Tribolium castaneum: one gene and its partners. The protein of the gene in region 2 purifies or fractionates together with the protein of the main gene of each other region. This does not show direct contact. Links are inferred from orthologs where the notes say so. Each region holds a gene or a part of one and is shown on either strand. Other genes may lie near its edges.

Region 1 (5,852 bases), on a different chromosome or scaffold from region 2:
AATAATGAAAAAAACGGACAATTCGATCCCGTCGGTGAAGGACGCCCTCCAGCCGGGCAACCAGGTGGTAGCTGCAGGGTACGCGCTCTACGGCAGCGCGACCATGATGGTGATCTCCGTGGGGAACGGCGTCCACGGGTTCATGCTGGACCCGTCCGTGGGCGAGTTCATCCTCACTGATAAGAACATGACGATTCCCAAACGGGGCAAAATCTACGCCATCAACGAGGGCTACACCCATCAATGGGACGACGCGGTCAAGGAATACGTCAGTAACAAGAAGGACCCATCGAAGGGGAAGCCGTATAATGCGCGATATGTGGGGTCCATGGTCGCCGATGTGCACCGGACGATTAAATACGGCGGCATTTTCATTTACCCAGCGACCAGGGATTCCCCCAATGGAAAGGTGACGTGCATGAGCACAGTTATTGGGGTAAATTTGTGAATTTTGGTTACAGTTGCGGTTGTTGTACGAATGCATTCCCATGGCGTTTATTATGACACAAGCGGGTGGGTTGGCTTCCAACGGGAAAATCCCCATTTTGGACGTGCAACCCACGAGCTTGCACCAGAGGTGTCCCATTTTTCTGGGCTCGAAGGAGGATGTGGAGGAGGTTCTGGCCGTTATTAAGAAGCACTCGAAATAAATGTTTTGATACTCATTGGATTTTTTAATAAATTTTGTTTATTACAGTTAATTGGTGTTTATTTCTTGGGCGCAGTTGCATGTTTATTACGTGAGTGTTTTATGACTCTTATTAAATGCAAAACACTTTTTAACAACTATTCTCTAATTGCATTATGTAACAATAAGACTATAATTGATGTTAAATTACTAGTTTGTTTTTATCAATCTGATACGTGTTTGTACACAAGATGCAATAAATCCCGGCTGGACTTTGAGAGCCAGTTCCGGAATTAAAATACTCGGTGACATCAAAGTTACAGCATCTTTAATAGTTTTACGAAATTACAGTTGATAAGTCTTTTCTATCGACCATTAAAGCAGAATGTATGTAAATGTATAAATATTTTTTAAGACCGCTTACATAATTTGGAGATTTTAACTTTGGTCTTGAGCTGGATTAAATTATATTTTATTGAATAATTTTTGTTGCAAAGTTTACAGCAATTAATGGATTTTCAATTTCCTTCAACAATAAACAATTACATCTAATAAAGGTATTTATAAATCCCGTCCTTGACTTTGGAAAACAAATTAAATGAGAATAACTGCACGGAAAACTTGTTTTTATTCTCTGCACATCCTGCTATGTAATAAGATTGAATAAAACGAGTACAAAGGTAATACAAAAAATTTATTTTTATTATTATGGTACAAAAAATGTAAAGTAATTTCAATCTTTATTAGATAACAGAATTTTCTGCCAATTTTTCGAGTTCCTTCTTGTCGTGCTCCATATTAATGATAAGTTGTTTGTAGTTTTCTGTGAGCTCTGACAAGCGTTGAACCATATCTTTCATATCTTCCTGTAACAAAGTTGGTATTTGGAAACGTTCCTTTTCAAGGAACTCATTTAAATCATTGAACAACTGCAGCAAATCCAAGTCGGGAGTATTTTCTTTATCAAGTTCCAGTTGATTATCATTCATTATGACATCCAGGAGCTCGTTTGCTCTCTCACACATGCTTTTAATATTTTCCATTTGTGCCATTTTTCCTTGCAACTTTTCCAAATCAATTGATTCGAGATTTTTCTTTTTCTCTTCGTCTAACGCCTTGGTGACTTCGGCCATTTCCTGTCTTTTAATCCTCTCCACTTGCTCCACAATTCGCTGGGCTTCTGCAAATGCCTCTGCCGAGAATTTGTGGAAGTTGGTGGCAGTTTCTGACGTTCTTTTTTTTATAACTGACGTTGTTCTATTCAAGTTTTCTATAATTATTGCATTAACGGCTGGATTTTTACAAGGTCTGATGGGAGACAATAATTTGCCCTCTTTCATGTTCTTTTTTAAATGCTCATGCAAGACGAACGTCGACAATTTAAACATGAATTTGGCCACCTTTATGCCACCAGGTGAAACAAAAAGAGATGGCATTAGCTTAGGAATGTTCGCCGCTTTGTAATTTTCATTCAAGTAATCAACAAATGCCACCACCTCTTGTCTAAACTCTCGCTCTCCTTTGGTGTCGTATGGGGGCCAGGATTTGAGCTTTTCTCTGGTCAACTCAGGACTTAGGACATTGAAAAGGTAGTTGGTGACTTGTTGGAAGGCTGCCTTGTTATTTTTTTTAAACATATCTTCCCTGAAAACCTCATGGAAGTCTTGGGTTGGTGGATAAACATAAGTTAATTGCTTAATGTTTGCGAAAAGTTTCTCGTGGATTATGGCTTCGTAACCTTGCAAATTTATCACAGAGAATGACGCCATTCTGTGCTAAAACAATAAAATTATTCAAAAGTGAAGATTATACTTAACAAATTGTATCTTACAAAGAACAAATAAGCTTCAAAAACACGACTTTTTTAAACTAAAGACCAGTAACTTTAATTGACCACGACCAACGTCAGAAAAATAAATCACCAGACGGACGATTTTTTTATTAAAAACAGACGTTTTTTAACTGTTTTTTTATTTTAATTGACACACAAGTTGGGAGGAAGCTTAAGTTTAGTAAAAAATTTATTTTTGTGTACGTTTGTTTGACGAATTTCCGAATTATTAAGCAGCAAGGCCGCCAATATACACAGCATAAAAGCCCAGTTCGTTCCCATTTAAGGTTAAGTTTCTGTCAGTTTGACGTTCAAGATGTCGCGTCAGCAACACGACGACGAATTATTTGAAATAAAAAACTTCTACTACATTGGAAATTATCAGCAGTGCATAAATGAGGCACAAAAACTGCGCAAGGTTTTTACCACTTTTCCATAATTAGCTTGCTCAATATTTTTTCCAGCCCTCGACCCCCGAGGTGGCCATCCAACGCGACATTTTCACCTACCGCTCATACATGGCCCAGAACAAATTCCTGGTAGTGCTGGACGAAATCAAGCCGTCCTCACCCGAGGAAATCCAGCCCTTAAGACTCCTGGCTGAATATTTATCCTCCAAACAAAAACGCGAGTCTATTGTCGCCCAAATAGACCAGAAGCTGGCCTCCAACGTCGAAAGTGACACTCTTGCACTTGTGGCCGCGACAATATACGTTAATCAGAACAATCTAGAGACGGCATACCGCGTTTTGCACGCGTCTGAAAGCTTGGAGGCTTTGGCTTTTATTATTGATATTTTGCTGAAGATTGATCGCGTTGATTTGGCCAGGAAGAAGTTGAAGGAAATGCAGGAGAAGGACGACGATGCCACGTTAACGCAGTTGGCACAGGCGTGGGTCAATAACGCGAGTGTAGGTCGCAAAATTATTAATAATTAACCACTAATTTGTGTTGTTAAATATTTTTTACAGGGTGGGGAAAAGCTGCAAGACGCCTATTATATCTATCAGGAATTGGTTGAAAAATATGGGGCTACACCTTTGCTGCTTAATGGCCAAGCTGTGGCTCTTCTAGGTCAGGGGAAGTATGAGGAGGCGGAAGCTGCTCTACAGGAGGCTTTAGACAAAGATGCTAATTATCCAGACACTTTGATCAATCTTATCGTTTTACATAAACATACAGGGAAAACGCCTGAAGTAATTGATTGTCAAATTGTTTGTAACATTTTTTGTTAATTATTTTCTTTGTTTTAGATTGCAAGTAGGTATTTGTCTCAGTTGAAAGACGCTCAACCAGATCATCCATACATTAGAGACTTAAAACAGAAAGAAAGTGAATTTTCAAGGATTTGTAAACAGTATGGTCCTTCAGTTTCAACCATTCCGACGTAAAATGTGTGAAAAAGTTATTATTTGCTGTAAAAAAATTATATAACGTTTAAGTTAATTGTATTACATGAAAAATAAAGCCCATAATCAATTATAGTTTTTATTGATTTAAACCCAATGATACATCCACATTCCATAAACGTAATTCGTTTTTTCCCAAAACAATCCGAAACCGTTGATATTAAAAAAAAATGACTAAAAAAATTGAAATAAGTCAGGAGTATTAAAATATTCGGTGACAACAGTTATTGCAAAAGAAAGTTCCAAATACGGCTACAAAGTACAAAATAGAAAAAATGTGTACTTACTTTTTTGTTTTTGGCATCATTTTAAACTATAAGACAATTAATTTCCATTTTCTGCAAGCAATAACCGTCTTAAATATTCCAATGTTGAATTTATTGTTAAATGTTTGGTACACCATAAAACTCAAATTGGTGATTTTTTCAACAAATTTCTTAAAAAGTAAGCCAATAAACCACATAATTATGTCAAAAAGGACATTATTTTTGCAAGTTTTGAGAATTTTAAACCGAAAATAATCTTTTTTCCTTATTTTTATTAAACTAGAACACAACAGTCACCAAATTTGGTCGAAAATGACCAAGAATTTACCTTTTCTAAGCGTTTATTCAGCAAAAACTCGCAAATTTTTTAAAAAAGTAAGCCAATAAATCACAGAATTATGTGAAAAATGAGATTATTTTTGCAAGTTGTGAGGATTTAAACGCGTTTTTAGTCAAATCTTTGTTTAATCTTCGAAAAAAATAAAATTAAACCAAGTCTCAAAGTAGTAGCTGAACCGACATAACTATACGGAGCCCTAGTTTATCATTTTCAAAATTTAAAACTTCAAAATTTAAATTTAAATTCTGTTTTGTACTGTCTAACACATAACTACTTATGAAATGGAAAAAAATGCCATAATCTTTTAATTGCTCGTATTTTAATTTCTGTTTCGAAAATGCCAATCATTTGTCTTTAATAATTTTCGTGTTTGGTGAGGCGGCATTTTGGGATGAATGGGCTAATCGTCCGCTTTGGGCGAAAAAAGTGCACTTGGGGCGTGTTCCGTCGGCGTAAAATTGAAAAAGCGCACTTAGTTTAATTTGAAATTCAAGACCATTTGAGCTCATACATAAATTATGGCAGGAAGTAGAAAATAAGCAATCCATGAAACCAAGAGTAGCACAGAAGATGAAAACAGATGAAGTCGAGGGGTTCAGCTGTCTCCAAGCAGATGACTCGATTTGTCACAGCGTCGCTCTTCTGACTTGATCCACGCCTCCAATTTTTTACAATTCACGGCGAAAGACATCCCGGAAAAACTCACGTGTTGGTTCACCTGATCTTTGATCGGCCGGAAAATTAGCGCGGCTTTTCTAATCGAAACGATTAATCTTCTTTTCCATTTTTCCGAGCGCGATTAATTAAATTTATTGCTTAATTGGAACAATAGACATGCAAATATGGCAGTGTGTATGCGAAGTGCGTTTAATATGAATATTCAAGCTCGCAGTACGATGTGATTTACATGCTAAACTGTTTAGTGCTGGCAAATATTAATAAGCAAATTGTGAGGAAACTTAGCGACATCTTGATGGTCGCCAGCATTTCCCCGAAACACCTCGCAGAGGTTTACTGAGCAAATATAAATTAACCTTTAATATGATAAATGTGTCTTACTTGCAGACGTTTAAATTAAAATGTACGTCATTTTCTATTTCGCCTCCCATATTTCCTACCTAATCTAATATCTTCTTAAAACACGTTTGCTATTTTCCCCAAACATAACATACGATATTTGAGATTTTATGCATTTTCCAAAAAATCACAAATAGCTGTGTTCTTGCTGTTTGAAAAAGGGGAGTGCAAGGAGGTGCTTGAGCCGTATATATTCCGATTATCAGGTGAATCCCGTTCCCACATGCAGTTTCATCCGCTGAAAATAATAGTTTTGTTGGTCGCATTCCGCGATAAATTCTAGTTATAGTGGTAGAAAAGC
Region 2 (5,960 bases):
AAAAATTTTATTTGACAAATAAATTTAACGGTTGCCTCCTGGAGATCGTTTTGTGATTTTTAATTTGCCTTATTTGGCAACAAGCACTTGTCTTTAAATCATTATCAGCTTTATTACTGATTGTTTAAAGATTAACCCTTTTTACAAAACCTTATCAATATTTTGTTGAGACAACTTTTGTCGCAGACTTTCAAAATCAAATATTTTATCAAATATTTTATGTAATTCCAGCTTTTATTCACTATCTCTGCCACAACCAAAGTACTTATTTATAAAAACCATTGATTTTATTAACATATTATTATTTTTTAATCTGATGTATGATGGAAGTGTTTCTTAAAAAGTAGATAAGATTAAGTAATTTGAAGGGAACTTCAGATAAAGTATAATCACGTATCCACCCAGGTATGCGAAAACCTGGTTAAAAAATAAAAATGTTTGGTTGTGGGCGTCCCAAAAATAGAGAAAACGATGAAGAAAGAGAACATGACAGACGTTTCAAAAGATCGACCAAATTACTACTTTTGGGTACAGGTGAATCTGGAAAAACTACAATCATTAAACAAATGAAAATTTTGCACATTAATGGATTTTCAACCGAGTGAGTATTTCTTTTTTTGTCAAGAGTAAGTCCAAAAAATTAAAATGTAGAGAAAAGAAACAAAAAATTCCATACATCAAGCAAAATATTCACGAGTCTATCTATGATATTGTTTACAACATGGATAAAATTAATCCTCCTGTAAAACTGGAGAAGAGCGGAAATGAAGAATGCGCCAAATTTATTTTAGATTTGGGGCCAGAAGAACTAGAGGAATACACTGAGGTACAATTTGAACTAATAATTGAATAATTATTGCATATTTTTTAATAGGAATATTTTGATAACGTGAAGAGCCTTTGGAACGATCAAGGAGTGCAAAAAACGTTCGAGCGCTCAAACGAATACCAGTTAATAGACAGCGCCCAACAGTAAGTGTTTAGGTGAAAAGAAACGGTTTCTTAAATAAATAACAGTTTCTTAGACCGTATTGACGAAATTAGGAAGCCGGACTACATCCCCTCAACTCAAGACATTCTGTTTTGCCGAATTCGCACCACTTCCATTTCGGAGATTGAGTTCAGCGTCCCAGTCCCTAAAACATACGGGGGCGGAAGCGCCAATTTCCTCATGTACGATGTAGGGGGCCAGCGAGGGGAACGCCGCAAATGGATACAAGTTTTCGACGGAATTGACGCAATTTTATTCATAATCGCAGCGAGTGACTTCGATCAAACACTACGAGAAGATGAATCGAAAAATCGGCTTGAGGAAGCTTTGTCCGTTTTCAGAGACATGTGTGGAAGCCGGTTTTTACGAAAGGCTGGAATGATTGTTTTTCTCAACAAACAGGACCTCTTCCAGAGGAAAATAGAGCACGGGAGAAAATTGGAAAAGTACTTCCCCGAGTACAAAAATTTTAATAAAACTCTGGGTTCTGCGGTGGATAATGCGAAAGCCTTCCTCGAGGAGAAGATAACACAAATGTCGAAAATACAAGTAACAGTGAAAAATTATAATCCAATTACAAAAACAGTAACTGAGGAGAAGCTGCCCCCTAGGGATATTTATATCCACCACACTATCGCTACAGACACTCAGAATGTTAAAAAAGTGTTTGATAGTGTCCACGAAATGATAATTAAGGAAAGTGTAAAAAACATTGCTAGTTACTAATACAAATTTATTACAAGTTTACACAAATACTTTACTTAAGCAAAGACCACTTGAGTTGCTCTTTGGCCGACTGTATTACCTATAAATAAACGTATTTGTTATTACATATTACATATTTATAATTAATTTTTCCTCATACACTTAGCATAACATGACAAAAGCTTCACCAAAAAATTGAATGGACTGCATTAGTTACCTGAGCTACAGTTTGCTCTCCCAAGGGAATATCGTCGTTCCTGAGAGCCACTCGCGACACAACTGAATTTGAATCAGCGTCAATAATAATACTGAAATACAAAAATATGTAAATAACTTACATTGTAAAGGTTAAAAAAAATTACATAATGAAGAAAGTATCCCCTCACCTACAGCAGGTACACCCTATATTTTGTGCATTTTTGCATATACTACATAGTTGTTAATTAGTACATTAAGCTAAGTTTTTGAAATAATTTGTGGAAACAAAACATCTTTTATTAATAATTAGAAAAAAAACTACATCATAAAACACAACAGGCAATATTAATTTACAGACATACATTTGTTTAAGGCTTAATTTCTGGTACGATTAAACTTTTAGCTGAATTTGGAATGGTCGATGTGTATTGTATAAACTCTAGCTATACTGGAAGTTAAGAAGTTTCTAATGTATGCCTTAATAGAATCACCCTCTGGATTACGGTTATTTGTTGTCAGAGCAAAATGAATTAGTAAAACAAAAATGCAACAATAAAACAGATGGAGCCACATTGGGGTACGTTCCCAGGAACAGCCAGTGAAGGGAAACTTCTTCATTAATCCAATATGTGTAACTCACCCCCCATCACAAATTTCATCCATAGCCAACATGACTATATCAAGTGAGTCCAAAACGGCCCTCTTTTCGACGTTTTTGCGCAAAATCTGACTAACAGAGTCATAGAGACAGTTTAAAACGCTCATTAGAATTAACTGAAACGATTTATAATTAACAAAAAATAAATAAAGTACTGAAAAACTTACTTCATTTTCGTGCGAACTACCCATAACATAAAAAAATAAATCAACATTGCTGCGATAAACACAAGTTAGACCATCTAACATGATTATTTCAGCGTTAGCTCTGTGTGTCTTATTGAAGAGATTTTTCTCAAAGGCTCTCTGTTCCTTAGCCGTGGGAAAAACGTTTTTATCGTAATATTTAGCCAAAATACGGTTGCCGTCATTGTCGAGGATTGCAATTCCTTTAACCATGTACAACGTAGGCTCCTGTAAAAACGGGTACTGTGGGCCCCCACAAATAAAACTCGCACATACCAACAGTGTTCCTTCCATTTTTCTCGACTTGTGGCAATTAATTAACGTAACAAATTGTAGCTTATTTCATTAAATTGCAAAATACTGGCAAAATCAGGCTTATTTTGATTTTTGTACGTGTCTAAAATTTGACAATTGACAGAAGATGGGAATTTGGTTTGTGATGTTGGTATTTGTCTGTCATTTGTCAAGTGAAAATTTGAAAATTGTTATTTTGATCATTTTGATTTTAAAATACGACAAAATGGACCAAACAATATGTCCCACAACGCAGCAAAACATTTTCCTGTTTGAGTCATACAGCCGTAACACCCAGTGGCAGGAAAATGAAGGATGGCTGTATAATGAGTCCGTTGCAGAAAAGTGTATTCAGGAATTTAGAAATGAGTTTCCTGGGGCCACTTTTAGCGATGACATGTTACGAGAATACGTGCCCCAATTGGTTGATCGGCTTCGAGCAACTGGTAGTATTAGAGAACCGGAATTACCCAACTTGGAAATTTTTCTAACCCCCGAAAAAGTACAACAAATTAGAGCTGTCCTCGAAAAGGACCCAAACATGCCCCCGAGGAAATTGTCTAAGGTCGTAGGTATGGAAAACATTCCGTGTTTACAATTTGAGACTAATTTGTTTAATTACCAGGCCTACCTGCGGCGACTTGTAAAGCGGTCATGAAAAAACTGAAAAAATAAAAGTATAATTAGTTTTGTAAGGTAATCAATAATTATCTAAAGTTTAAGTTTAACTAATAATGTAGTAACTGTTTTCTTTTCTACGTTTATAATTTTGTTGGAAGAAATAAAATCCTGTTCATATTTAAATAAATTTTATTGTTTTGCGTACCAATACTGGTCATTACATGTGGGTTTACATAATATAGGTAAGTCTTAATCAATACTAATACCTAAGTAGCAGCACAAGGAAGAAGGGGGATGATTGTAAAAAAAACAAGTCTTTGCAGTAAACACGCAGTATCAAAAACCAGATAAAATAAAAAACAGCCAATAGAAACGAATTATAAAGTCATTATTCCCTAAACATATTCTTAAGATCATGTTCAAACAACGCAATCAGCGTCATAATCCCAAACCCTAATAACAGCCCACTCAAATGCAATATGCACTGAATCAAATTCCCTTCATCTTCATGTGCCGAGCTCAACTCTGGTATCATATCCACCAGCGCAATATAAATAAACGTTCCAGCCGCCACTGCGAACACCCAAGAACTGGCAACTTCCGTATTCCCTAAAATTCCAAATATTGAAATAAAAAAAAAACAATATACCACCAAACTAACCTAAATAAACTCCCAGCAAATTCCCCAACACGCACAAGATGCTTGAAATAATGTTATAAAACAGCGCCTGTTTGATACTCATGCCGGCCTTGAGCAGCATGGCGAAGTCGCCCACCTCATGGGGCAACTCGTGGCAGAAGACAGCCACGGCGGTGGAAAACCCCCCAGCGGCACTCCCCGAAAACGCAGCCCCTATCGCCATACCATCAGTGAAGTTGTGGAGACCATCACCCATAATCACCATCCATGCAACCGACGAGAAGTTCTGGGGGGCGGCATGGACGTGCCCATGGAGATGGGAGTGGCCATGGTGGACAGCCCCGTGCTCGGTTATAATAACGGTGTAATCGGCCTCGGGTTCCTCGTGAGGAGCCATTTCGATGTGTGGGAGCATCTTGTTGATTTCGGTGCAGTTGTTCGAGGTGTTGAGGTCGTTGGGACACTCGGTTAGGTTCTGGTTGGTTTCACCGTTCTCGCAGTCTTTGGATATCGCGGTTTCGGACGAGTCGCCCTTGGCCGCTTGCTAAATATGTTTTGAGTTATTATGTTAAGCACAATTTTTGTTTATAAAATTGGTATAAAATACAATGGAATCCGGTTATAACCATTGGTTATACAGGCTGTCTTAAAGTTAGTGTAGGTATTCCCCGAGTTCAGAAGATTGTAGAGAATCACTTCACTTGTACAAATACAGAAACTAAATAAAGACTCGGGACTTCCCCACAAAGATACATAGTTCGAAAGTGCACTTTAGGACTTTAGGTGCATTTTGAATTGCTTTTTTTTCAAATGCAGGCTAAAAATTTCAGTGTTTATTTTTAATCATGGTATAAATGATTTTGGAAAACACTAATGCGATACAATTTCTTGAAAAATCTTTAATTTTTGTAATTTGTCTTAAAAACAAAACGTCAAATTATAAAAATGTCTGAACCATATTTACGTTTTCATTTCGTAGGGGCAGAAATCCTTTAATCAGTGTCACGTACGGCGCTCATGAGTTTAAATTAGTTGTATTGGAAAAAAATATCGCCGATTTCATAAAAAAAAACTAGTACACAAAGATCATTGTTTCATTGAACAAGTATATTGTCATCAAATAATTATCATACTTTCCACTAACTGAGCTAATACTACTTGCGAACACATCAGTGGCGTACGGTTTAGTTCCAAAATAACTTAAATTTATTTATTTATTTATTTTTTTGAAAACGTTATCCAAAAAATTTTTTTACTATTTTTCCCAGCATGTACTCGTTTGATACTACCATGGGTAGAATTTGTCGGTCTATTTAAGAATCACGCTGTATTTGGACTATTGAAGTGATTCTTTACAATGCTCTGGACTCAGAATTCACCAATTTTGAGATACCCCTGGATTATAACGAACCTTTATTGCGTATTTCTGGCAATAACGAACTAGATTTGACTTTCTGAAATATGTTGAAGTTGATAATAATCATAAAGTATATCAACAATAGAAACGTTAACTGAAGAACAGATTATCGAATTAACAGAAAAACTTTAACTTGTGAAAACGTGTGTTTTTAAACAGAATTACAGTTTGAATTTGCTAGTTGTGCAAATATTTCTGTACCTGAGAGCGAAAACAGCCTATGTCCAGAATGCCCAATACTTAGGATTAAT
Region 3 (5,294 bases), on a different chromosome or scaffold from region 2:
TCTCAATTGTCGGTAATCAAACGTTTTGCTATGCATTTCGTTTGATTATTAATTTTGTTTTATTATTATCTGAATGTGTTTAATCATTGGAGCGTCAAATATCGAAAATGACGCACACTTGATTAATGATTACGCATTTATTTCTATATAAACTGCAAGAAATAATCGAATTTAAATTTTTCTTTTCCGTATAATCATTGATTTGAGTTCTGTCGTGACATAAATCAAGTCACAATTTTTTAAAAAAGAAAAAATACGAACAATATTACTAGTGCGTCCATATTTTATGAATGAAAATCATGAAAAGGTCATCTAATTAAAATATCTGGGTCACATTTCGGTCGATTTTTTTTATGAAAGATGATGCTTTCGTCTTACGTCATTTCCAATGCGATGAGTAGAAGCAAAAAAATTATTAATTAACGTAAGTATTAATACGCATTGTGATTGGCCTGTTTGAGAAAACAACCACTTTGGATTTTTGGACTCATTCCAATTTAGAGCAATTGGTGAACTTCGACTTGGTTGATTTACTTATTATAATAAACATGATTTTTTTCTGATATTTAATACGTGTCTCTTATGTACTTCATCACGTTAGGTTTCTGAAAAAATTATTAAATATTGTTATAAAGCTTTATTAAATTTCACTGTATCTGAGCGTTTTATTACTACGAGTAAAAAAGAAAAGTCATATTATATGACATATTCAAACATGTATAAGAAGCTGGTTAAATCAAAAAAGCATTGCTATGCCGAAAAACATTGTTAATAAAAATTATGGCCACTGCGACACAAAATGACAGCAAACAATCGGTATTATTTACTTCACCTTACGCTCATATTCTTGTGAAAAACGCCGAAAAAATGAGAAAACTTTGCTTCCTTATACCTTTTTCCATATTTTTATCTTTGACGGTTTACTTTTAAATTTTAATTGTGAGACCAAAATTTTGTGATATGGTGAAAATTATCCCAGCGACAGTTTGGGGCCAAGATATAATTAATTAAATTAATTTTAATAAATTTAATTATTTAATGAAGAAAGATTTTAGTTTCGTTGCCCTTAGAATGTTAACGCAACGTCTCTTTAAAATTGAACTATTTTGCGTTTCTTGGTTTATGGGAGCAAAAACTATTGGTAAAACAATCCACAATCACGTAATAAGAAACCAATAATTTTAAATTTTAATCATTTATTAACATTATTACAAAAATTTATATATGTGAAAAAAAGATTCAATGATGCCCGAGTGTTTGTCTTAAAAAAATATTTTCCAGAAACTCCTCGAAGCTTTCCCCAACATAAAATCGGTGAAAATCCACCGAGCCGCCCTTTGGATTTTAGGCGAATACGCAACAACTGTGGCCGACATCCAGTCCGTACTTAAAGCCATCAACCAAACCCTAGGCGAGGGCCCCCTTCTGGAAGCGGAGCAACGTCTAGTGGCCGGAGATTCGGAAGAAGTCACCCAACCGAACCCAACACAAGCTTCCAGCACCCTCGTCACTTCTGACGGAACTTACGCCACCCAATCAGCCTTCAACACGGTTCAGTAAGTAGTCATTTGTCGAGAGAAAAGCCCGGTTTGTAAATCAAGCTTTAGGAAAAGCACAAAAGAGAAGCGGCCCCCACTTCGCCAGTATCTAATCGACGGCGATTTCTTTATCGGGGCTGCGATCGCCTCAACTTTGACCAAACTGGCTCTAAGGTACGGCAGTTCGGTTAAAAATGCGGTTGAAAGGAATCGGTTTGATGCCGAAGTTATGATGATCATGGCCGGGATTATTCACTTGGGGAAGTCGGGTTTGCCAACTAAGGCCATGACCAATGATGATAAGGACCACGTTTTATTCTGCTTGCGGGTGCTTTCGGACCGGCAGCCGAGCATTATCAAGGTTTTTACCGACTTGTGCCGACAGGCACTTAACGACATGTTAGTCGCCAAAGAAATTGAAGAAGCACTCAATCAGAAAGCGAAAGAAAAGGCTGGTAATGTCATACAAGCCGACGATCCGATCAATTTTATGCAATTACAAGCCGACAAGTCGGGCGAATTGGGTGAAAACGTCTTCGAAACGTCCTTGTCACAAGCCTTGGTTGGGGGCCGAGTCGGCGGCAGTGACACAAGCACTGGGGTTAACAAGCTGAACAAAGTGACTCAATTGACCGGCTTTTCAGACCCGGTGTATGCCGAAGCCTACGTCCATGTCAACCAGTATGATATTGTTTTGGACGTTTTGATAGTCAACCAGACCAACGATACGTTACAAAACTGCACCCTTGAGTTGGCAACTCTCGGCGATTTGAAACTCGTGGAAAAACCGCAGCCGGTGGTTCTGGCGCCCAAAGACTTCTGCAACATTAAGGCCAACGTGAAAGTGGCCTCGACCGAAAACGGGATTATTTTCGGGAACATAGTTTATGACGTCACGGGAGCAGCGTCCGACCGAAACGTGGTGGTCCTGGACGACATCCATATTGATATTATGGATTACATAGTCCCGGCCACTTGTAGCGACTCGGAGTTCAGGCAAATGTGGGCCGAGTTCGAGTGGGAGAATAAGGTTTCGGTTAATACGACCTTAACCGACCTTGCGGAATATTTGAAGCACTTGATCAAAAGCACCAACATGAAGTGTTTGACTCCGGAGAAGGCCCTGTCAGGGCAGTGCGGTTTCATGGCCGCCAATATGTACGCAAAATCAATCTTTGGAGAGGACGCTCTCGCTAATTTGAGTATTGAAAAACCGTTCAACAAACCTGATGCACCCGTTACTGGACATATCAGGATCAGGGCCAAGAGTCAGGTTGGTAGCACTGAGTGTGAATCACAGCTGAGTTTGTTGTTGCAGGGGATGGCTCTGAGTTTGGGTGACAAGATCAATATGACACAGAAGGGGCAACAGAGTAAAGTTATCGCTGCATAATTTGTATTTTATGGTCGTATTAATATTAATAAAGTTTATTTGAAAAAATGGCTTTGATTACGGAAAACTCGCTTTTTCTGAATCCAAAAAATAGAGTACTTATACCGTCTCAGCGCCAACTCTTTAAATTAATTTAAATTCAACCAATTCTGAGAAAAACTGTATTATTCTAAAATAAAGTCACTGTGAGAAAAACTAATGACTGAAATTTTCATAAGAAACGTGAGAAAAAAAAGAACATTTTCGCTTCGTGCCGTATTTTTCAAAACGCTACAAAATATTGGCAAAGTGCAAATTGGTAGAAGTTTTTTTTTTTAAATATAAATAACGATAAATTTTGCGTTATGTTTAATGCTTTATCATTTATAAAATTCATTGCTCAGAAAACAGACGATAATGAACGACTGCGCTCTCTGGCGGCACTAAGGAAACTATCAAGGACGGGACCGTTTTATTTGAACGTGGTTTCGTATCCTAACCTTTAGACCTCCGTAGTTTTGATGTAACGATATTTATTTGATTATAAATACAGTTTATTATTGGAAACGAAAATAAAATAAGATAAAAAGTACATCATGGACGTCGGGACAAAACGATGTTCTCGCTTGCTTATTCTTCTTCTTCCTCCTCGTCGTCCTCTTCCTCTTCTTCTACCTCAACCTCCTCTTCCTCTTCCTCCTCTTCTGGCTCGGGCTCGAACACCGGCTCCTTGATGTCTTCATCATCATCGGCGGCGTGTTTGCCCTCTTCTTCGCCCTCAGGGGTCTCAGGATCGCCCTTCTTCTTGCCGGGCCTTTCACCGAACCATTTGGGAAGTTTGGCTAAAATACAACGTTTCAGAACCCGCCCTTGCCCACATTGGCACAAATAAGCAACCAGCAGCAACTCTTACATTTTTGCCTCGAATCGAATTGCCCAATTTTGTCTTTCCAGAGTTTTTCATTGGTTTCCTTGGTAATTTCTTCGTAACCCTGTTAAAACGTAAAACGCACACTCAGACATGGCACAGTACAGTTTTGTGATTAGAAAAAGGACACGAGACAAGTGATTAATAGCAAAATGGGCACAACACAACGGATATGCCCACTTACTTCTCGACCGACTTTCGAACTCGCCCACTTTCTCTTTCCAAACTTTTTCCAAAAGTTCCATGTTTAGGTGGTCAAAGCCCTAACAGAAACGGTCACAACGCAATCATCGGTCCTTTTTTTGACTTTTGTAATACTTACACCCTCAAACAGTTTCTTCTTGTCGTCGTACGATCTGGTGTCGACACGACGCTCATATTTGGACGCTACTTGGATCTTAGGCTACAAAACACAAAATTACAAACACTTAACACAAGAATTAATAACACGTACGGGGTATTTGCCGGTGAGAGCCTCGGGGTCCAAGCCCTTCTTCAAGGCCTTGTGCCTGAGTTGCTGCTTTTGTCTCTCTTTCAATTCTTTAAGCTGTAAAATTACGTTATCCCACTGTGCCAATATTATGTTTGCGGGCTTACATCGTAATCCTGGCGTTTCTGCCTTTCTTCCAAGTCATATTTCTCAGTTTCGAGCTTAACGATGCAGTCCCACAACTCCTGGGCCTTTTCCCGGAGCTTGTCCACGCTGAGGTTGTCAAGCACCAAGGGCTTGATGCGAATGGATAAGGAAATTTTCTTCTCTTCTTCCAGCTGCTCCTTGGTCTTGTTTCTCTCAAGCTGCGCCGCGCTCAAGTTGGACTAGAACCTTGTCATAGAATCGTTCTTACGCACAATTCGCACAACTTACGGAAGCATCACGTTTGGTGATGGTGAAGTTGGGTCCTTTGTTCTTGTTCTGATCTTTCAGGGCTTGCATCATGGCTTGGCGCTTCTTCTCGGCTTCTTCCAGCCGCTGCCTCTTCTCTTCAATATCACGCTGTTTCTTCTCTTCAATCTCGCGGATGCGGCGTTCTTCTTCCTGCTTCTTCCTCTCGGCCATTTTCCTCTCTTCTTCGGCGCGGCTGATCTTGCGCTTGGCTTGTTTCTCCTTCAACTTTTTGAGCTCATCTTCCTCCTTGGCGCGCTGTTTGCGCCATTCGGTGATGTACTCGCGAAGTTGTTCATCTAGGTCGGATCGCTTCTGATCTTGACGTTTGATGAATTCTGGATCGCCAGCTCCTTCCCTGTTTTGTGTGAGAAATTAGCAAGGACTCTCGGGAGAGGCGGTCGCATAAGTAGCGCAAAATTCCTGCCCGTTTAATTTTGGTTTCGAACTAGAAATGAGTGAATTTAGAGGCCAATTCAAGCTGTTATGCGCTTCTATTGTGAGCGGACAAAAATTAATAAGAGAGCGCACGAGAAGCTGGAAGAGTCGCTGGAAATATCTTCTTCTAGTGGT
Region 4 (7,110 bases), on a different chromosome or scaffold from region 2:
TGTTCTTCAACTTTATTACTGAAGTTAATCGTTGTTGATAAAAGAAATGCGATCTAATAAAAGGCTTGGATGTAAAATTCCTACCTAACTCACATTTTTGCAAAAAGCAAATTTGAAAATACTATGTACATAGTAATTACGAGTACTGTTAATTTAATACGATTTTTACGGTTACATCTCTATTGTCCGTTACTATCTTTTATGGTAGTTTTTTTTAGAGCTCATTGTACTAATTGTTTGTTATTATGATGCTTATAAATATTTATTATACGAGTAGTAAAGATAGAATAAAACAACTCTTCAAACTACTCAAATATGGATCTTAAATATAGTTTACCCAATTATACGTGGGTGTGAATCTTAATAAAACACCTAAATTAAAATACTAGACAACATACTGTATCAAATATGTAAAAAAAAATTGAGCCGATCGGGATTCGAACTCACACTTTTTGGAAATTCCCGCAGTGATAACCACTAGTATCGCATTCTCAACAGGTGAATATTTTGATAAATATTCTTGTTGCTTACAAGCAACAAGTAGTACGAATTACACCATTTATTGATTGTGATAAATTACAAGGAGCTGTCTTTAATGGCCAAAGAACATGCGACGTAGGTGCGCATAATTTTTAAGATTTTACGGTCAACTGGGATATTATTTCTACTTTTTTAATAAATATAAGTACTGTAATTATTATTATTAATTCACTTACGTTAATTATAAGTCCACACATCAATAAAAAATATTAGTTATAACACTAGAATTAACATTACATTCACATACAATTTTATTAACATTGTTGCGGACAAAATTATTTCATAACAATCACATAAATCAATTAAATATCGCTATAACAGTCAGTGAAAACAATGCAAGAAACACACGTTGCGGAATGACGATAAAAATACATGCATAGGTTTGCAATTATTACGTCGTAATTTTAATTTATCAACAGAAATTTATATTTAGATTGGGTGCACATACAAATCTAATTTTGAACACATTAAAATGTGTCAATTGCTTCCACAGGAAAAAGCAATTTGCTTTGATACAGGATATAGGCAACTTGTAAACAATAGTAAGAGCACTTAGTACTTAGCCATATAGTACTTAAGTGTCAGAGAGGAAGATGCAATGAAACATACCTTTTCACTCAGGTAGAGGAACACAATCAACGGTACACATTATTCTTTGGCCATAGAACTGTTTTAAGCCTTTACTACAAAGTTACACAAAGACACTATGGGACGAGATGTTTTTAACAGAATTAACCTAAACATAACACACTACTATAGCTTTTGCTATGGCCTTGGTACGGCCTTGATGAGGCACACGGAAACGTGAACATAAAATGAACATAATAACAGATAAATATAGTAAACTACTAATGTTGATATCAAGGCGCCATCTATTTGTTCTCCACTCTTTACTCCCAATTATTATTGTTAATTAAACTTTATTCAGTAATTGGATCAATGAAACTCGCTGCCCACACCTCAAACAAACTTCCATTACTCCATTTCAAAAGACCCCATTCAAGGAAAATCAAATATTTTGAATATTTCCTCACACTCTACTTTTAGAACACGCTTATATGACCACCAATACTCGCTCTATATTGCTGGTAGATTATTTTTCAAAATTTAGAACCACCCATTTTCAGTCCTTTCACTCCTACCCTTATTTTTGTATTGATTATTTTACACTTTTATCTATTCTATTGTTCTGTTGCTTAAATCACTTATACAAAAAAAGGAACATTTGTTGATTATTAAAGTAAAGTATGATTAAAAAAAAAACACTCACTAAACTGATGTGTAGTAACAGTAGTCTTGTGAGCTTGTGACTGCACATTATTCATGTCAATTGACAAACATATTGATTTCTTGATGAGACAAACAAATTATAAATCCTCTACCACCAATGTTTTATTCATGAAATAAAAAATGCTTCAAACTCAGTACCTAATCATCAATTTTAACACATTCCTATGATGGATTTACAGTTTTCAGTGCAGTCTATGTACAAATTTTTGAATACACTGTAACCACCTAAACGATAATTTTCAAACTAATCGGGGTATTGGAAAATATCGAACTGAAACACACTTGCGTCAGAAAAATGCCAGCAAATAATTGCTCAACAAGATGTGCAAACTGAAGGAAAATTCAAGAGCCAATCGAAAGAAGAGTAATAAAGTAAAGTAATTATTTAGTTTGAGATATTTACCAAACGCACTATTAATAATGGTTTACAGGTAGATAATAAATAACAGTTAATCGTGCTGGCTGATTATATTTGTTGATTATATCAGCTTAAAGTAATTAAAAGCTTCTTGCTAATACTCGTACCTAAAGTGTAAAAAATTAAGTAAACGAATGAATAACAATATCCGACAAATTATTGTGTTAATAAAAAATTATTGTTGTTTATTTTTCTCACATTTACAATTTTTTTGATTACCATTGATTACCTTTAAAAAATGAGAAAATAATATAATATATCGCACAAAAGTCAGACTAACACACGTTAATATTATTCTAATCTTAAATTTTTGAAATTTGACACTTTACTGTGGCATTTTTGTATTGTTTTCTATCTTTAATTAACATTTGCAGTAGCATACAGGAAAATACTATGTTTTTTTCATAGCCTTATCTTATGACTTTATGATAGACAAAGAATGGTTAAAATTTTTTACTTATTAATCAGAATGTAATAAAAAATAACTCTGGCCTATATTTTCGTGATCTGGTAGCCAAGATAAAAATTTTGGAATGTTTGATATTAAAAAAAATTTAAATTTTCAAAATACTTGCAATTTAATCACGATATTTTATTTAATCATTTTTATTGCACTAGCTATACTTAATACTCAAATAACCCAAACCACCCACCTTAGAAATAAAAATAACTTGTAATTCTAGGCCGCAATTTTTTTTTGATATTCAATCAATTTGTTCAGATACATATCTTTACAATATCATAATTTACTATAATCTATTAAGACAATTTAGTTTGCTGAAATATTCTTAGGCCATAGTGGATAATAAAAAACCGAAAATATTTTTTTTTAGTTAGATACAATTTATTATCTGGTTTATTTCTAAAATAATTACGTTTTTTTTTGCTTTTTTTCACATTCCTGTATTGCTATATTTTAGTAGGAACAAATTACTAAATAGCTGAAGCAACAAAAAATATAAAAATAGAGCAGTTATTGACTTATTTAGTTTGATTTTAAGTAACTTATGAGTAGAAACTGGAGCATTTTCGAATTTTGCGCCTAGAGCTGGTGCAGTGAATCGGCGTAAGGTTGGCTGACTGAATACGGTCACGTCACTGTTTTTCTCATTCAACAGCAAGCACAAGTCAACGTCATCTTAAAAAATTAATAGGGTGTAATGTTTTGTAAAATATTATTTTAGTTTTTAGGAACATAACAGCAACAGACCTTTCACAGTCTCTAAAATGGTGAGATAATCTTTCACACACCACACAAATCCAACCTTTCACAATTCCAATTTAAAATTTCCAAGTTGCCATTTTACGCATTTTCTCACGTTATAACATATGATTTCAGGTGCTCATAGCAGCGGCGGTCTGCACTAAGGCCGGTAAAAGTAAGTACCCCACATAAACCACCGAACCATGTGTTGCAACCTTTCTCTGCCTTTCCAGCCATAGTCTCTCGGCAGTTTGTTGAGATGACCAAAGCCCGCATTGAGGGTCTCCTGGCGGCTTTCCCCAAACTTATCCCAACAGGAACACAACACACCTTTGTAGAGACCGACTCGGTCCGATATGTATATCAGCCACTTGAGCGCCTTTACATGCTCCTGATTACCACAAGAGCTAGCAACATTTTGGAAGATTTAGAAACTCTGAGGTTGTTTGCGAAAGTGGTAAGCTGTCCAGACCCATGGAAGCCACAAAAACATCCTCACATTGTCATTATTTTAGATTCCCGAATATTGCCGCTCATTGGAAGAAAATGAAATTGCGGAAAACGCATTTTCCCTCATTTTTGCGTTTGATGAGATTGTTGCTCTTGGGTACAGGGAAAGCGTCAATTTGAGCCAAATTCGCACATTTGTCGAGATGGATTCACACGAAGAGCGGGTCTATCAGGCCGTCAGACAGGTAATAAAATTGCTAAACTGGTAAAATCATTTATTATCAAAGTTTGTACAACAACGGACACGGCTATTATTTCAAATTTGCTATTTCATGATTAGATTGCCTCACAGAAAATAAATTAACAACAGTTCTAGAAATTGTAATGCCAAAAAGTCGTAATTCCAGTTGGCAATACTGAATTCTAATTTTAAACAATGTAACTGAAGTATATTTCTGGTTAAGGTTTTGGATTCTGTCATCAGTGACAAAAAAAGGGAATTTTTTGGTTAAAAATTATTAAAGCCAAGAAGTTGTAATTTCAGATGGCAATACTGACTTTTAATTTTTAACCATGTAACTCAGTATATTTCCCGGTAAGATTTTGGATTCTGTCTTAAATGAAAGCGGTTTGAAAGAAATAAACAAAATGACAAGTTTTCAAAGATTTTGTGTTAGTCACAGCTCTTAAAGTAATTTTGGTAATAAAGCAAATAACTCAGTATTGCCAATAAATTTTTTAAGATGTTAAGTAAAATTCCTCCCAATTTTAAATTTTTATTTGAGGTATAAAATCAGATATAATAAATTTTTCGACACATTATTTCATAGTGACCCAGTAGAAGGTGAAATAAAAATTAATTTGCTGTTAAAAGTTAATTTAACAGTTAATTTGGTAAGTGATCACTGATCAGCTGTTCTAACGTTTAAGTGAACGAATTCATCGCTAATACCTGTCTCACTATTTTTTTTTGTTACCCTGATGGATTTTATGTTGAAAATTAATAATGGTATAATGAACATAAAAAGAATTGCTGTAAAATCTAGAGTTCTTATAATACCATAATAATATTCCGTTTCACATCAACATAAAGAGACTATGCTATTGTTTGTATAACTTGTTGATATACCTACCAGGTGAATAAAGAGAATGAAATCTAACGTGTTTTTTTTTGCTTAAACTATTTACTTTTTGGAAAAACTACTAGCAGTGTGATTAAAGAAAATGTTTATTTTTTTGTATGTGTAGTTTTTGAATTTTTTACGACCCACTTATTTATCCACTGGTTTAAAAACTATGAAAACTTAAAGACAAGCGTTATTAAATTTTTAAATTGCTTTTATTTACAATAAATTCAAGATTTAAAGTTTCACGAAAGGAAAAACATCTTATTCAGACAGAATGTTTAGCTTGGGCATAGAAAGCCATTTCCGATATTTCTGCACTTTTAAACCTCCTCACGGAGGTCTTAGGGCGAATAAAATAGAAACAGAAGACATGAGACATCTAACATTTGATAGAAAGCATAATATTTCTTTTAGAGCCCTTTCCTATAATTGAATTAAGGCATGCTGTTTGTATAGATTCGAAACCAATGTAATTTCTGATTTACGAACTGACTCCTCTTTAGACACAAGAACGCGAAGCTAAAAACAAAATGCGTGAGAAAGCTAAAGAATTGCAACGCCAGCGAATGGAAGCCAACAAAAAGGGCGTCAAACCATCATTTGGTAGCAGTGGAGGCTTTGGTAGCTCATCTGGTTATACTCCAGCCCCTTCAGTCGGCGATGTTGCCAATATTTCAAACGATATCAAACCACCAGCTTATTCCTCCGCTCCTCAGTATGTTAAAAACATCCAAAAAATTTTTTTTTAAATTGATTTAATAGGAAACCTTCGACTCGAGGAATGAAACTGGGTGGCAAAGGCCACGACGTTGAGTCTTTCGTAGACCAGCTTAAATCCGAAGGCGAAAATGTCATTGCACCAGTTAATAACAGTATTTCACAAGGGGGAATGAAAACACCAGCGATCAAGTCCGATATTAATGAGTAAGAAAATAAACAGAATAGAGTAGAAAGTGACTTGAATTATTTCCAGTGTTCACTTGAGACTGGAGGAAAAACTAATCGTTCGAATGGGCCGTGACGGCGGTGTGCAACAATTCGAGTTGTTGGGGTTGGTGACACTGCACATTGGGGACGAAAAGTGGGGGCGAATTCGTGTCCAGTTGGAAAATAAAGACACGCGTGGCATCCAGCTCCAAACTCACCCCAATGTAGACAAGGAACTTTTCAAACTGCGTTCCCAAGTACAAACAAACCAAAAAATTATTGTTGATTAATTTCGTTAATTTAGATTGGGCTCAAACAACCATCCAAACCATTCCCGTTGCACACAGACGTCGGTGTCCTGAAATGGCGATTGCAAAGCACAGATGAGAGTTTAGTGCCTCTCTTGATCAACTGTTGGCCGTCGGAAGTGGGCGATGGCAGTTGCGACATCAATATCGAGTACGAACTTGCCGATCCGAATTTAGAGCTGGCTGATGTCAATATTTTGATTCCGTTACCGTACGTTCATAAAATGTGATCCCAGTATTTTATTGATGTATTATTTTAGGATGGGTTGTAACCCGGTTGTGGGCGAATGTGATGGCTCATACACGCATGAGTCAAGACGTAACCAGCTAATATGGAATCTACCTATTATAGATTCAAGCAATAAAACTGGATCGTTGGAATTTAGTGCGCCCCGATCTATTCCTAACGACTTTTTCCCGGTGACAGTTTCTTTTAGTTCGAAATCTGCTTACGCAAATATTAAGGTGAGTTTTCCTGTTTACGTCACCAGCACGGCGAGTGCGTTAGTAATAGGTCGTGGTTTTAAAGACGTTTTCTCGTTTCAGATTCTTGATGTATTAATGGTGGACGATGATTCTCCTGTTAAGTATTCTGTTGAAACTAGCTTGTTTCCCGACAAATATGAGATAGTGTAAGTGTCACAGTAGGTTACGATAGTTAATGAAATTATATAATAATAAAATTCACTTGTATAAATACTACTAATATTTTATTCGTTCTTGCTTTTTGTACAAAATTTTAAGAAGTTTGTTTTAATTTTTATCTATTATATAAATAAAATAAGTCAGGAGTATATTTATAACCCGTTGTTTCATTCCCGCCAAATAAAAAAAGACTTGCTTGAA
Region 5 (6,733 bases), on a different chromosome or scaffold from region 2:
GGAAATTTTTTTCTTAGAGTTCTAGATTAGATTTTATTAGATTTTTTTTTCAGTTTTCAAAATTATTTTCTGAATTAATAAAGCAGTTGCCGTATTTTAAAAGACTCTCTAAAAGATCTTAGACTATCATCATACAATCCTCTCAATCGCCACAAACCTGACAGATATTTGAACATTTTTCACCCATTTTCCAGAAAATCAACCAACAATTACGACTAATTCCTCTTCTAAATTTTGGCGTGAACTTCGCGAAAACATCTGAGAATTTTTGTCATGTTTTGATAAACTTAGTCATTGTCACTTCCCAGTAAACATTTTTTAGGTCATAAACATTACTGAAATCAATGTTTTGTTAAATGAAACATTTGACCTTTGAGCATAGTTTGTTAATGAAACGTCTGGGAAACAACAAATATTTTCTTCTTGATATGATTCACTAGAAACATTTCATTGAAATTTCTATGGTATATTTCACTCACTTTCAGGATGGTATAAGAAACATTTAAACAATATCATGTTGTAGAACTAAAATATATTATTTATATAAAAAACAGAAACAAATATAATTTCAACAAAACAAAATATATAAAAAATTCATTGTGACAAATATTTTTTCTTTATGAATTGTTGTCGTGCCTGCACATAATGATTTCGAATGAGGTGGTTGTATTTTGATAATTCCGCATGTTTTACATGTTATAGGCGATTATTGTGATATTGTTATATCACTTCGGTCTCATTATTATTGTTACGTGATTCCAAGTTTTTAAAAATAGCGATTATTGTAGTTATTGTAGACTAAAAAAAAGATTTATGTAAATCATCTAACAATACATGTTTCGTGTTTATTGGGTGAACAGTCAAAAACCATTTGATCTAAATATTGGACCAAATGCTTGATAAGCGGTTATGACGTCATAATTTCAGCCTTAAATCGAAATAACTTGAGTTAGAGAGCAGATACAGAGGAACGGTTTTCACTGTTGTAATAAGTGCTTTCAGTACTATTATTTATAATAAAGTTGTTTTTTAACTTGCCAATGTCTTTTTTGCTGAAAACAATGAATATTCAGTTTGATATACAAAGAACATAATTATTTTTCTTTTAACGGCACATCTTCTAAATTTAAATTCTTGATATTTTTAATTCATATTCTACATTCTACGATCAATTTTTGAAGGGCACTGTTAAGAGAAGGCTCGTTTAGTACCAAGAAATCATGCAGTTTTTGACGGCATTGGAAATAGTTTCTATTTTCATATATTTTCCATAATATGTAGTTCGAGCATTGAATCATTGCTCCATTTCTGTTATTAACTTTCAAAGTATGTGTTGTTAATTTTCATGAAATATTCATTTCATTCAAAATGGAAAAAATATTAGTGAGATATGTCACGTTGCATCCAATTTTTGTCGTCTGCAAGTTGATGTTATATGTTTGTTCAATTTATTTAGATAAACGGTAAATAACTTCACATTTCTTTGAATGTTAAACTTTGACACCTTCCTTTAACTGTCCGTAAAAGTAAGAGTAATCCGTAAGAGTATTGATTTTTTTTTCTGTGTAATCTAAAAGCCTATCTCATTGCAATGTTCAGTTGTATTAGGGCAATCTGATTTATTTTTTACGTGATTGGAGCACAGTTTGAAGGTTCGTGGTGTCTGTACATATAAACACTGATACCCAGAATGAAACCTGATCGGTGTGTGAAACTATTAGATGATCACCGAATTTACTGTTTTAATTTACCAATTTTTCAAACGCGAGGAAATCTGACACTTTTCCATGTGTTCACAATTTTAATTTATATTTTGATAGAATGTACAATCGTTTTTGTTGCCCCGGTCGCTACATTAGTATATCCACTGGCTTTGAATAATTTTACACTTGCTATTGTATTACAATGCGAAATATGAAACCTCTAGATGACATGCTTATCAAATTATGGAACTGGGAGAAAGCCTGGGCCTGTCAACAAGTCTTCGAAGGCCACTCTCACTACGTAATGCAAATCGCAATCAACCCCAAAGACAACAACACGTTCGTAAGCGCGTCCCTCGACCGCACATTGAAAGTGTGGCAACTGGGTGCTTCCACCCCCAATTTCACGCTCGAAGGCCACGAGAAGGGGGTCAATTGCGTCGATTATTACCACGGGGGCGACAAACCCTACATCATTTCAGGCGCCGACGACCGTCTTGTCAAAATCTGGGACTACCAGAACAAAACATGCGTCCAAACCCTCGAAGGCCACACTCAAAACATCAGCTCGGTGTGTTTCCACCCTGAACTCCCAATCGTCCTGACAGGGAGCGAAGACGGCACTGTCAAAGTCTGGCACGCTAACACACACCGTCTTGAAAGTAGCCTCAACTACGGCTTCGAACGCGTTTGGACGATTTGCTGCCTCAAAGGCTCAAACAACGTAGTTTTCGGGTATGATGAGGGCAGTATTTTGGTCAAAATCGGGCGAGAGGAGCCGGCAGTTAGCATGGACGCCACTGGGGGCAAAATAATCTGGGCCAGACATTCGGAGCTGCAGCAAGCCAATCTGAAGGCTTTGCCCGAGGGGGCCGAGGTCAGAGACGGGGAGCGGCTCCCAGTGGCTGTGAAAGACATGGGGGCCTGCGAGATCTACCCCCAGACGATCCAACACAACCCCAACGGCCGGTTTGTTGTTGTGTGCGGCGATGGGGAGTATATTATTTACACGGCGATGGCGTTGCGGAACAAGGCCTTTGGGGCGGCTCAGGAGTTCGTTTGGGCGCAAGATTCGAGCGAATATGCGATTAGGGAAGCGGGGTCTACGGTCCGTATTTATAAAAACTTCAAAGAGAAGAAGAATTTTAAACCGGATTTTGGGGCCGAAGGGATTTTCGGGGGGTGGTTACTTGGGGTTAAGTCAGTGGCGGGGTTGACGTTCTACGATTGGGATAGTTTGGATTTAATCCGAAGGATTGAAATCCAGCCAAGGGCGATCTACTGGTCCGATAACGGCAAATTGGTGTGTCTTGCGACCGAAGATAGTTATTATATCTTATCGTACGATTCGGACCAAGTCCAGAAGGCTAAGGACGAGGGACAGGTGGCTGAGGACGGGGTTGAGTCAGCGTTTGAGGTCCTGGGGGAAGTGAACGAGACAGTTCGGACGGGGTTGTGGGTCGGCGATTGTTTCATTTACACGAATGCCGTCAACCGAATTAATTATTTCGTTGGGGGTGAGCTTGTAACCATAGCTCACTTGGACCGGCCTTTGTACGTCCTCGGCTATGTCCCGCGTGACGATCGGCTCTACCTCGCTGATAAGGAGTTAGGGGTTGTCAGTTATCAGTTATTATTGTCGGTACTCGAGTATCAAACTGCAGTAATGCGTCGTGACTTTACCACAGCCGATAGAGTATTACCCTCGATTCCGAAGGAACACCGGACTCGAGTGGCCCACTTTTTGGAAAAACAAGGCTTCAAAAAACAGGCCCTTGCTGTGAGCACGGACCCCGAACACAAATTCGAACTAGCCTTAGCCTTGGAGGACTTAAACACCGCTCGAACTCTGGCCCAAGAAGCGAACAATCCGCAAAAGTGGAGCCAATTGGGTGAATTAGCCGCTTCGACTAACAACCTCCAACTAGCCAAGGAGTGCATGCAAAGGGCGCAGGACTATGGGGGCCTCCTTCTCCTGGCTACGAGTTCCGGTGACGAAAAACTTGTGAAAACACTGGGCGAAAATACACACTCTGAAGGCAAACACAACTTGGCTTTCTTGTCGTTTTTCCTTTTGGGAGATTTGGACAAGTGTCTGGAGATTTTGATTTCGACGGGGCGTTTGCCCGAAGCCGCGTTTTTCGCTAGGTCGTACTTGCCCGATAAGATATCCGAAGTTGTGTCCTTGTGGAAGGCGAAGTTGTCGACGACGAATGAAAAGGCGGGGCAGAGTTTAGCCGATCCGAAGGATTACGAAAATTTGTTCCCGGGTTTGAATGATGCGATTGCTGCTCAACATTTTTATAGTATGGGGAGGAAAGGGTTACCGTTGGCCAAAGATGCGAAGAAAATTACGCCGAATCATGAGAGAAATGTTGTGCAAGAGATGAAGGCGCAAGGGGGCGAAGGGTTCAGTGTGCCAGTGGCGCAGACTAGGTTGGTTGGGGGGTTGTTGGTAGTTTTTGAGTTAATTTTGGTTTTTAGCCAACCGGTTCAGAGTGAAATGAAAGCGCCGCCCAGATTGCAGCAAGAGGATGAAGATGATCTTGATCTGGATTTGGAGGGAGTTAACATTGATGATAATATAGACACCACGGTAAGAGACATTCTTTACGTCTGAGGTTTAATATTGACAGTTTTTTTTTAGGATATCAATATTGATGATGATTTGTTAAGTGATTAATAAGGATAATTATCCAATACTAATATTTAATCCGAGATTTAATCGTTAATGTTTTTTATTGTCAAGTATTTTATGTAGGTATTCCATAAGAATTAAAGTTACATACAGTTTCTCAATGGGTCTTTATTTTTTATTTATTAATTAATGATGACTATTACTTAGGAGACGAAACATAAGACAAAATTGCTTCTGAACCCAAAAAATAGTACGCAGAGTATTATACCGTCTCGACGTCAAATTGTTTTAAATGAATTTAAATCCAACCAATTCTTTAATTACTTGAAAAAAAATTGAGAAATGTTGAGCTTTGCGCTATTATCAGCCTAAGAAAAACTGACGACTAAAATCTTCATAAGAAACATGAGAAAATAGTTATTTATAATACGAGTGAGAAAACACAAGCTTTAAGTTTGAGAGCTGCATACCTAGACACCCGAGAAGTTTAAGCGTTTTCGGAAGTGTTATTAATTTTTTTGCTGGTACATTTTAATTTAAAACACGTTGCTTAAGCGTGTTTTAAAATAGTGAAAACATTGATTTAAAACACGTTGTTTATAATCTAGGATTCAAATATTAAAAAGAAGGCTTAAACTGTTACCAACCAAAAAAAAAAACATTTATTTGAGTGCTTTAATAACCGCGTGTTTTTTAAGTTTTTAATGTTGGTCACTGAGTTTGAGCGACTTTTTACCGAAGCAGCTTAACTTCGAAAACTTTAAAAATAAATAATTTGCGTCGTATTTTTGCAACAATTACTCAATTCAATTAAATCATTTGTAGAGTTAATAAAAATTATGCCAATTTAATTGTGCGTTGCCAAACGTGATCCAAAATTGAGTTCGCGGGTATCGGACTTTGAGCAACTTACACTTGCTTTTGACAGTTGGTGGTTGAGTTTGAAAACCGGTAAAAAGTGAACGAAAATGAGAAATTTGGAAGATTTCCCGGTTCCCATCGACGGCGAGGTGACTTTATGTGAGATAAACGGCCGAATGCAATGCATGAATCACGAATTTGCCAACGTTTCAACCTTCACGACTGCTGTAACGTTTCCAGAGGTTAGAGCCACCAGAAGCTGTGATTTGTGCGTTTCAGGTTGACAAACACCCGAAGGTGCACATAACTCGTGATTTGCTGCATCTGCCGAACTTGGGGGACGAGGGTCGGGCGTTGTTTTTGCCGACTGATGTGCCGTTTTTGAAACAACTCACACAGGTGTACGCTGAGCAGGGCTTGAAGGAAGTTTTACATACCGCCACTTTGCATCAACATTTGTTAATATCACAGAGCGCCCGCTTTTTGTTGGCAGTCTGGCGGTATTTGCGTAAGGCGAGGTTGATTCTAAACCCGAGTTTGGAGTACCACAGTTGTGAATTGATAGATGAGTTGAGCCAAACGAGAAATTGGGCTAATAACACGATCAAATGCATTGCGTGGCATTTGCACAATTCGCGACTAGCTGTGGCGACGTGTGACGACAGCGTTAGAATTTACTGTAATGATAGTAGTTTTGTTCCCTTGCTGAGGTGTAAGCAGCAAAGGAATGTGACGTGTTTGGCCTGGAGGCCCATGTCTTTGACGGAAATTGCAGTAGGGCATGAAAATGGCATTATAATATGGCACGTTGATTTCAACTCATTGGTGACTAGGCCTTCAGTAAGCAACAGTATTATGTTACAAAGGGTGGACCACAAACCCGTCATGAGTCTAGCCTGGAGCCCCCGAGGCAATCTCTTAGTCAGTGCCGCAGCCCTGGACTCAAACATCCTCGTCTGGGACGTTGAATTGAACAAAACCAGTGTTTTGAAAGGTTCCAGAGACTCGGGAAATATTCTACTGAAATGGTCTCCAGCCAAAGACAAATTATTGAGTGTTTCGAACGGAATCGTATTTAGGTGCGAATTATCGCTTCGATTTTTTTTTAATAAAATTATTTGAAGGATTTGGGATTGCCAGCACTGGGAAAACGAGCGTTGGACGGTGCCTTCAGGCCGCGTCCAAGCAGCTTGTTGGACGAGTTGTGGCACAAGTTTGCTCTTTGCCACAAGTACAGAGCCAGTTATTTATGGACTGAACATGAAAAGTGACCATGTGTTTAGCAGCAATTCCGAGAGTTCTATTGACCACGCTGTGCCTTTATTTGACCTCTCTAAAATTGATTTGGAGGGAATTGCAGTTGGCGGGATTGTTCAGTCAATGGAAGCTGATCCAAAAGGAAACCACTTGGCTGTGTTTTTTAAAGATACGAGTTGTGTTGCGCTTTTTAGTGTAATAAAGTCGCCACTACTCCAGCTAATACCAAGGTGAAATGATTGATTTTGTGAGCGAAAATAATTTGTTTTTGCAG

The links.
Region 1: the proteins of zetaCOP (region 2) and epsilonCOP purify together in Homo sapiens (affinity purification with mass spectrometry; 3 studies listed by BioGRID and IntAct, with this or other methods). This does not show direct contact. The link is inferred for Tribolium castaneum from reciprocal best matches to the Homo sapiens genes COPZ1 and COPE.
Region 3: the proteins of zetaCOP (region 2) and betaCOP fractionate together in Homo sapiens (co-fractionation; 8 studies listed by BioGRID and IntAct, with this or other methods). This does not show direct contact. The link is inferred for Tribolium castaneum from reciprocal best matches to the Homo sapiens genes COPZ1 and COPB1.
Region 4: the proteins of zetaCOP (region 2) and deltaCOP fractionate together in Homo sapiens (co-fractionation; 5 studies listed by BioGRID and IntAct, with this or other methods). This does not show direct contact. The link is inferred for Tribolium castaneum from reciprocal best matches to the Homo sapiens genes COPZ1 and ARCN1.
Region 5: the proteins of zetaCOP (region 2) and beta'COP fractionate together in Homo sapiens (co-fractionation; 6 studies listed by BioGRID and IntAct, with this or other methods). This does not show direct contact. The link is inferred for Tribolium castaneum from reciprocal best matches to the Homo sapiens genes COPZ1 and COPB2.

What each region holds. Positions count from the first base shown.
Region 1 is NC_087397.1:2,370,488-2,376,339, reverse strand, and holds epsilonCOP (coatomer subunit epsilon), read left to right. Parts: upstream 1-2,716; 5' UTR 2,717-2,775; coding exon 2,776-2,877; intron 2,878-2,923; coding exon 2,924-3,370; intron 3,371-3,430; coding exon 3,431-3,655; intron 3,656-3,712; coding exon 3,713-3,850; 3' UTR 3,851-3,939; downstream 3,940-5,852. Other genes in the region: fbp (fructose-1,6-bisphosphatase 1), read left to right, coding at 1-409, 462-650; uncharacterized protein LOC103315197, read right to left, coding at 1,372-2,397. UniProt on the Homo sapiens protein: The coatomer is a cytosolic protein complex that binds to dilysine motifs and reversibly associates with Golgi non-clathrin-coated vesicles, which further mediate biosynthetic protein transport from the ER, via the Golgi up to the trans Golgi network.
Region 2 is NC_087396.1:16,250,048-16,256,007, reverse strand, and holds zetaCOP (coatomer subunit zeta-1), read right to left. Parts: upstream 3,178-5,960; 5' UTR 3,032-3,177; coding exon 3,014-3,031; intron 2,966-3,013; coding exon 2,720-2,965; intron 2,669-2,719; coding exon 2,535-2,668; intron 2,005-2,534; coding exon 1,914-2,004; intron 1,829-1,913; exon of another isoform or gene 1,797-1,828; coding exon 1,749-1,796; 3' UTR 1,718-1,748; downstream 1-1,717. Other genes in the region: Galphaf (guanine nucleotide-binding protein G(f) subunit alpha), read left to right, coding at 435-601, 652-826, 875-972, 1,018-1,717; zinc transporter foi, read right to left, coding at 4,041-4,261, 4,314-4,836. UniProt on the Homo sapiens protein: The coatomer is a cytosolic protein complex that binds to dilysine motifs and reversibly associates with Golgi non-clathrin-coated vesicles, which further mediate biosynthetic protein transport from the ER, via the Golgi up to the trans Golgi network.
Region 3 is NC_087397.1:6,602,267-6,607,560, forward strand, and holds the end of betaCOP (coatomer subunit beta), read left to right. Parts: intron 1-1,281; coding exon 1,282-1,556; intron 1,557-1,607; coding exon 1,608-2,811; intron 2,812-2,856; coding exon 2,857-2,931; 3' UTR 2,932-3,013; downstream 3,014-5,294. Other genes in the region: up (troponin T), read right to left, coding at 3,541-3,752, 3,824-3,902, 4,161-4,241, 4,293-4,385, 4,436-4,654, 4,704-5,079. UniProt on the Homo sapiens protein: The coatomer is a cytosolic protein complex that binds to dilysine motifs and reversibly associates with Golgi non-clathrin-coated vesicles, which further mediate biosynthetic protein transport from the ER, via the Golgi up to the trans Golgi network.
Region 4 is NC_087394.1:32,201,065-32,208,174, forward strand, and holds deltaCOP (coatomer subunit delta), read left to right. Parts: upstream 1-3,322; 5' UTR 3,323-3,475; coding exon 3,476-3,478; intron 3,479-3,587; coding exon 3,588-3,627; intron 3,628-3,685; coding exon 3,686-3,909; intron 3,910-3,967; coding exon 3,968-4,147; intron 4,148-5,532; coding exon 5,533-5,744; intron 5,745-5,791; coding exon 5,792-5,953; intron 5,954-6,002; coding exon 6,003-6,213; intron 6,214-6,260; coding exon 6,261-6,475; intron 6,476-6,524; coding exon 6,525-6,729; intron 6,730-6,810; coding exon 6,811-6,900; 3' UTR 6,901-7,067; downstream 7,068-7,110. Other genes in the region: hfw (protein halfway), read right to left, coding at 1,811-1,858. UniProt on the Homo sapiens protein: Component of the coatomer, a cytosolic protein complex that binds to dilysine motifs and reversibly associates with Golgi non-clathrin-coated vesicles, which further mediate biosynthetic protein transport from the ER, via the Golgi up to the trans Golgi network.
Region 5 is NC_087398.1:12,748,934-12,755,666, forward strand, and holds the end of beta'COP (coatomer subunit beta'), read left to right. Parts: intron 1-1,927; coding exon 1,928-4,139; intron 4,140-4,187; coding exon 4,188-4,299; intron 4,300-4,350; coding exon 4,351-4,386; 3' UTR 4,387-4,502; downstream 4,503-6,733. Other genes in the region: aladin, read left to right, coding at 5,310-5,429, 5,482-6,281, 6,327-6,689. UniProt on the Homo sapiens protein: The coatomer is a cytosolic protein complex that binds to dilysine motifs and reversibly associates with Golgi non-clathrin-coated vesicles, which further mediate biosynthetic protein transport from the ER, via the Golgi up to the trans Golgi network.